Linked DNA regions of Danio rerio. The protein of the gene in region 2 purifies or fractionates together with the protein of the main gene of each other region. This does not show direct contact. Links are inferred from orthologs where the notes say so. Each region holds a gene or a part of one and is shown on either strand. Other genes may lie near its edges.

Region 1 (3,832 bases), about 970 kb from region 2:
AAGTACTTAATATTAAAAGATGATACCTAGGTTTTATTCTAATTAGGTTCCTATAAGCTCAAATAGCAAAGAGAAATTAAAAAAATGCATGTAAAAAACATCCTAGGCTGTAAGAGATTAAGATCATGCTCAGCAGACGGTATGCATGAAATGGTCATTTTTTAAATTTTATTATCGATTGGTAAAGTCAAAAATTTTGGCAATCCTACTCGAAACTATTTAAAATACTGGTCCCACTTTATATTAAGTGTCCTTAACTACTATGTACTTACATCAAAAAAATAAATACAATGTACTTACTGTGTTTATAATGTATTTGAGAACACTTGTGGTGCTTTTGGGATAGAGGTTGGGTTATAGACAGGTTTGGTGGCATGGGTAGGTTTAAGGGTGGGTTAAGGTGTAAGGGATGGTCAACAGTGTATTAACAAATGTAATTACAAAAGTTAATTACAGATGTAATTACATACATGTATTAATCAAGCATAAGTACACAGTAAATACATGTATTTACACAATAAGTACATTGTAACAAACTATTAATTTCTATGTAAGTAAGTATATATTAGTTAGGGCCACTTAATATAAAGTGGGACCAAAATACTATTTAAATAAGTTGTTAGCATCATATGTAGTTTGATGCATTTATATGTAACATTAACTGCGGAAACTAACATAATGCAGAACATTCAGCTTTGATTCATAGAAAATAATCATTTAAATTTGTATTAATTTTCTGAAATATTTCATGATGTCACTGACTGTATTTGTGATGATCTAAACGCAGACCCTGTGAGCATGTTGTTTAAAAACATTCCTACTGGCCTCAATGTTGTGAACAGCTGTGTAAACGCTATTTTAATCAATCTGATGCTTTTCTTTGAAATGATGACCTGCTTTAAAATGCGTAAACTTGCACGTTCGTCTGTACGTAAACGACGAATACTAAAGGCCAGCAAACAGCCCCTACGAGAGCTCTGTGTGCAGAAGCACCTGACAAACACATCAATTCAGGAGGTAAATCAGCTGAATGTTGATATGGCGTCTGTCTGGGAACATTACAGGAACGTTGATCAGATGTGCAAACACTTTATATGTGACACGTTCCAGATGAACACACACGATTCCAACAGACGTCACATTGACGTCAAGCCGAAAACCACCCGCAAACTTGCATCCAGTGGCCGTTTGGGAAAAACTCTGAAAACTATAAAGCACTTGAGATTATGAAAGCCATGAAATCTGAGGGTTTCATAGATGTTCACTGATTTCATGGAAAGAACTTCTCATTTATGCGTGTGAAATCTTGAATTAGGTTAGACCCTGCTCTAAAACATAATGTGTCCTTTTAAATGGATTCCTTTGGTCAAACGCAATTATAAGACTGGGAGAAGAAGCCATTTTGTCTTTTACAAAGGACAAGAGGAATTGTGGAAAACAAACTGAAATGTCCTATGTGTCAGAGCTTTACAGGAATCTACAGTTCAGATTGGAAAAACTAGAGAATCTCATTCAGACCAACCCAAAACCAGTTGGGTCACTCATACTTTCACACTTTCACATACAGAAACGTGAGCTTCTGGACACACATGTGAACTTCTGGTGGTCCATTGCTCTTCAAAACGTGCTGCACCCAACAATTTATTATAAAAAAAGCCCTATGACATTCAGTTTTACAGTATTCGGATACAGTATTTACACGTAACAACTGTTCGGCTAGTCACCATTTTGTTAGATACTCAAGTGCCACATTTGTATTATTCGTAAATACAGACAAATTGCATACCCAAATAAACAAAAGTAGTGCAATAAATGTAAAAAAAAAAAAAAGAATTACAATTATAATTTGGTCCGAAGGTCTGGGAAAAAAAAAGTCCACCAGACAATACTGTACAAAAAATGAATTGTTGTGTGTTGTAGTCGGCTGTCGGTGTGTTTGTTCAGAAACATCCTGATGTGAAATGTATGATAGAGGAGTGTGTGGAGTTCTTCACCTGCACAGTAAAAGATGATCAGATGAGGATTTCCACCATGTCGCTGTCCATGTCCTGTGCTGCCACTGATGCTGGAGGAAGACTCTGCACTGGTGCTCTCCTCTCTAATGTACTGCTGTGAAACACTGGCACGTCTGCGCACATACAAGAACATAAACATCAATGACCAATAGCAGCCAAGGTAAAGATGTTATATGGTGCTCTTGATACATAAATTGTGTACTTACTATAGTTATTACAATTAGATTCAGCATAGTTACATCCCACTAATCTGCATTCTAAGCCAGATTATACAGTAGGTACATGCAATTAATAAATGTTTCTCCATGGTTGATTGAATAGTTAGGGCTCATGCGCACTGATGATTTTCACTCATGATTTTATCATCAGCAAAGTGAATGTGCAAACTCATTGTTAGATGACACTTAAGCCTGGTTTATACTTCTGCGTCAAGTGACCGGCGTAACCCACAGCGCATGCAACGTGCGTGGCTGTGCATTTATACTTCTGTGCGCTGTCTCTGTTGGTCTGCATTAACACTTCCGAAACGCTAGATGGCAGTAAACGTTCCTCTGTGTCGATTTTCTTCGCTGGTGTTTTGCTTTTCCTGAACACTTCCTGAATGTACAAGTGGCTCAAACTCTCTCATTTTGAGGTAGGAACCGGCAGACGTGCAACAACTTTAACTATGAGGTAAACACAAAACAAAACTTTCCATCTGGAGCTCCTTTACGGGACTCCACACTTGTAAACAATTCGCGCGGCTCTCAGTCCCGCCCAGACTCGTAAGCGCTACCAAGCCGACCAATCACAGAGCTTGCGCTACGCGTCGTTGAGACATGTAGTTACATTTTTTGAGAGGTGCACGTCAGCGACGCCGACGGCCACGTAGCATACGCGTGCATTTGACGCAGAAGTATAAATCAGCCTTTAATGGAAAAACAAATACTCAAAGTGACACAGTCAGCTCACAGAGGTTTATGTTTTAGTGCCACCAAGTTGTGTTTATTATAATTCTGCTGTTTCAGGCACACGAACAAAAACTCCAATTTTATTGGTTGACCAGTTTTTAATGTGGTGTGCCAAACCAAATAAATGTTTGAATTTTGTTTAAATGACACTTTTATACTTGCTGTTTTATTTGTGGCTCACATTGGCACTCTTTGTTTAGTCATAAGGTGTTACATGTTGTTATGCACAAGTGAAAAATCATTACGGTGTGCACAGGCTTTTACACTATGGCCCCGTTTACACTAATACGTTTTAGTTTTAAAACGCAACATTTTTTCTATGGTTACACTATGCGTCCAGACTACGCCGGAGTTTTCAAGCACGGAAAATGGAGCGTTTTGAAAACGCTGGAGAGGCTGTTTTCATTCTAAAACGCATATGTCTTGCTACAGTTACGCCGTCCGTCCACACTATGCCGGAGTTTGAGCGACGAAAACAGAGTGTTTTGGAAATACTGAAGAGGCTTATTTCATTCAAAAACACTGCTGCTCCGTCTTAAGCCTGATTTATACTTCTGCGTTAAGTGATTGGCGTAACTCACGGTGCATGCAACGCGCGTGGCTGTGCATTTATACTTCTGCGGGCTGTCTCTGTTGGTCTGCATTAACACTTTCGAAATGCTAATTGGCAGTGAGGTGTTTTTGATCCTCTGTATCGAGTTTCTTTGCTGCTTTTTTGCTTTTCCTGAACACTTCCGGGATGTACAAGTGGCTCAAACTCGCTCATTTTGAGGTAGGAACCGGCGGACGTGCAACAACTTTAACTATGAGGTAAACACAAAACAAAACTTTCCATTCGGAGCTCCTTCACGGGACTCCACACTTGTA
Region 2 (4,274 bases):
AAAGACAACTTCAACATAGAAACCCTTACAGTTATGTTATGATTTAACCTACCCAATTGACAGCAGGTTTGCTATTCAATTAACTTCAGCTCCTTTGCAACTATAACTGTATCTTGACATTTCTTGCTATTAATATACTGGATTGAGTCTATATACAAATAAAAATCTATTATGGAAACCTTAAAACAAGGTTTAGAGTTATTCAATCTACATTTATGAACATGAAATTTACCGAATAAAATCAAAAGATCCATTATGAATTCCACAGATAAATAGTTTGAGACAAAATAAAATTTAACATATTTGGGGGTCAAATTACATCTAAAACCTGATTTTTTATTTATTTATTTTTTGGGTGGTGGGGGGAAATACAACGATAAGTTTTCCCAAAAGTTCTTAAAACATTGACAATCATAAAAAAAGATGAACCAAAGATTTAAACAGAATGAGCAATTTTCATCAGTCTGCATAAATTTCGATATTGTTTAATTGCTAACATTAATGTTGTGAAGTATTTTTAAATGTAGTTGCCTCTGTTTATTACTTATGCAAAAGTGAAAAGGAAGCAACCAAGCTTTTCCCCACACAATATCTTCAAAACAAACATTCCAAAAACATTTTCCTCTAGGTTTTAAGGCTCTGTTTAAAAAAAAGTGTGCACATACCACAACTTCCACGCTTTAAGAGCTTGTTGATAAAAATTGGACAGGTAGTTTATTAACAGAGTAGTCACATGATAGTAAAAACCTCCAACCTTTTTGAAAATATTATGTGGAATAAAAAACCAAAATGAATCTGATTTCAATAAACAATTCCTAAGCCATTTAACTTTATTATTTAATGTATCATTTAAGTAAAAAAAAAAAAAAAAAATCCAAAAGTTCAAATCCTCCATCTTTTACTTGGACCTTGAAGAATTTCCTTTCTTAAATGATGATGCTTATTTCTCCAAAAAAATTGTATATATATATATATATATATATATTTTTTTTTTTTTTTTTTTACAAATAGCGTCTTGAACAAAAAGAGATAAAGTCGTGTAAACAAATCTAGAAAACAAATCTCTTTGTTTTGTCAACAAAACTCTGCCAATAATAGATAAATCCTTTTGAAGCCAGTTATTTATTATACCTTGAGCTTTTATAAATTTGTTTGTTTGTTTGTTCGCTTTATTTATAGAGCACATTTAAAAACAACAGATGTTGACCAAAGTGCTTTACAAAACAACCAGCAAACAAAATCTATACCTATATATAAAAATTAAGCAAAATATATAAAACAGATTAAAATTAATTAATTACAATCAAAGGCAAGAGACAGAAATCTTGTCTCTGATAAACTTTTTGTGATATCTATTCCTAAATACTTCACCTTCTTTTTAACTGGACAGCTACTAGAAGAGCTACGGCCGTCACCTGTATGACGTAATCCATTCCAACCGCAGCATAGCGACCGAGCTTGACTACGGGGGAGAACCGCACACAGCCACTTAAAGGAAAACACAACATTTGGAAACAAATGAGAAAGAAACGCGCCACTTTTTACAGAAATCTACGAAAATCCTCTGGATGTAACAGGAATGCATCGGCCAAACGACAGGATACGGAATACGTTTGTGTGGCGTGTCTAACAGTTTGCGTTGCTGTACAACGAGCTTTTGGGGCTAACAGGCTAGCATAGTTGTCGCTAAAACATGGTGGGCAGACACTGAGCGAAAAACCTTCCAGACTCACTCAACTATTCCCAGAGTATGCTGGAAAAATTACTCGGTTTCTATGTGTTATGTTTGGAAGATTATTTTTGGACTTTAAAATAGTTTTTTGTCCATGTTGAAAACTCGCGCACGACCTTTGAAAGTTTTTTTCCTTCATTTTTGACGTTAACCATCCAAGTTCCGTGGGTGAAAAAATATGATTGATTGATGTAGTACGTACTTAACTGAGAATGCACAAGAAACGAGGAGTTTCTTACAAAAAGCACAACTCCTTCGGCAAAGTTACGCGATTCAGAGCATCACCCTCTCATCCATTCATTTAAGTTAACAGCGTGAACGCAATGCTCTGTATATAGGCTGCACGAGCTCTACTGGAATATAGGAAGACATTACCATGGATAATCCGGAATACATCTCTACCTGTGGTTAATTAATGGCACTTTTCTTACGCTTTGGAGTTAACTTATTTGGACCAGTCCAAGCAAAGCAACACATGGTTTGCTTACCAATCATTTTAGAAGACTTGCAGAGAAAATTACATGGAGACTAAGTGTTGGTCATGCCAAGGAAGGAGTTACCATTGCCAGAGGGTTGGGAAGAGGCCCGAGATTTTGACGGGAAGGTCTATTATATAGACCATATTAATCAAACCACCAGTTGGATTGACCCAAGGGATAGGTATGTGATGAGTACTGCTCGTTCTGGGAATATAAACTTGCTTACTCAGTATACAGAAACATGCTGTGTTCATTACTCATGTGTACAGCTGTGAATCGGTCAATGTGTTCTTATTTAAAGAGAGAGGAGGTCTTAAAATGAACATTTGCTTTTAACGCAGCCTCTGACTGAACAAGATGTAGATTACTTTTTAATTTGGAGTAATAAAGAAAAGCTTTAGCCGAAACTGTTGTTATTGGGAAAGTCATGACTTGTCATGAAAACATAAACAGTCAAAACTAAACTAATATTTATGACAAAGTTTTTTTTTTAAAGTGAAACCACGTCTGTGCAAAAAACAAACAAACAAAAAGAAACATATTCACAAAAATGTATTCAAATTGTTCACCCAAAATTAAAAAAATACACCCATGGTTTAATTGAGGTAAAGTTGGTTTTATATTTGCACACGCTGAGTTTCTCCTTGATTAATATAATTTCAGAAAATTATTGTTTGCAAATTCTGAATAGGGAAATCATATTAGCAGCCAATGACTATCAAAGCACAACACTGTTCAGAGTCAGTTAAATGGTGCTAAAGTCAGAATTATTTGGCCCCCTTTAAATTTTTATTTCTTTTTTTAATGTTTCCTAAAGGATGTTTAATAGAGCAAGGACATTTTCAAAGTTTTTCTGATGTTTTTTTTTACTTCTGGAGAAAGTCTGATTTGTTTGATTTCAGCTAGAATAAAAGCTGTTTTTAATTTTTTGAAAGCCATTTTAAGGTCAAAATGATTAGCCCCTTTTGAGCTATTTGTGTTTTTAATAGTCTACAGACCACCATTATTTAACTATATCTTTTGCTATTTACCCAACCTGCATAGTTAACCTTATTAACCCAGTTAAGCATTTAAATGTCTTTAAGCTGTATAGAAGTGTCTTGAAAAATATCTAGTACAATATTATTTACTGTCATCATGGCAAAGATAAAATAAATCAGCTATTAGAAAAGAGTTATTAAAACTATTATGATTAGAAATGTGTTGACAAAAAATCTTCTGTCTGTTAAACAGAAATTGAGGAAAAAATAAACAAGGGGGCTAATAATTCTGACTTCAGTTGTACATGCGATTTTATACTGAATAATCAAAGTACACATGGTAAACAGTATAGGGAGCATATCACAAGTTGTCACTGAACGAATATGCAAATATAAAACCAACTTTTTCATGGTTTTTCCTCACCCTCAACTTCAAGTCATCATCTGTAAATATGTTTTTCTTTTGTCAGACAAACACAGTTAGTGTAGTTTTACATTTTGGGTAATGGCAAGGGCTGCACAATATTAGGAAAAATATAACGATATTTAATTTTTCTCTGATAAATATTGCGAAATGAATGCTTTTTCACAAGATGTTTTGAATAGTATTATTTGACATTTTTCTTGGGAGTCAAATACAGAAATTGAATAACCGGAATGCTAAAAAAATGTTTTTCTTACTTTGTCTTGTTTCTAGTCCAAATATCTAAAAATCTTTGATCAATTTAAAATATTGTTTTGTTTTCACCTTCAGAAAAAAATACTAATAAAAAATCACTAAAACAAGCTGATTTATCTGTAAATGGGGCAAGTAGAATAATCTTATTTTTGCTTTGAAATGTAGACATTTGGACTAGAAATAAGACAAAAATTACAAGTAGGAACCTTGCATAAAATCGCATAAATAATGAATTACAAATGATCTTTGTTACACCTCCAACAGCATTATTTCTTGTGCGCAAAGTTTTAAACTCTTGTAATGCTCACAGTCACAGGTTTTAAAAACACATGCAAATGATAAACTTTTACTCTATATTGGTGAAACTTAGCAGTGACTAGGGCTGTACGATTAAATCGAAATCG

The links.
Region 1: the proteins of wwc1 (region 2) and amot purify together in Homo sapiens (affinity purification with mass spectrometry; 3 studies listed by BioGRID and IntAct, with this or other methods). This does not show direct contact. The link is inferred for Danio rerio from reciprocal best matches to the Homo sapiens genes WWC1 and AMOT.

What each region holds. Positions count from the first base shown.
Region 1 is NC_133196.1:41,208,657-41,212,488, reverse strand, and holds part of amot (angiomotin), read right to left. Parts: intron 2,129-3,832; coding exon 2,013-2,128; 3' UTR 1-2,012.
Region 2 is NC_133196.1:40,241,665-40,245,938, reverse strand, and holds the start of wwc1 (protein KIBRA), read left to right. Parts: upstream 1-1,447; 5' UTR 1,448-2,273; coding exon 2,274-2,392; intron 2,393-4,274. UniProt on the Homo sapiens protein: Regulator of the Hippo signaling pathway, also known as the Salvador-Warts-Hippo (SWH) pathway.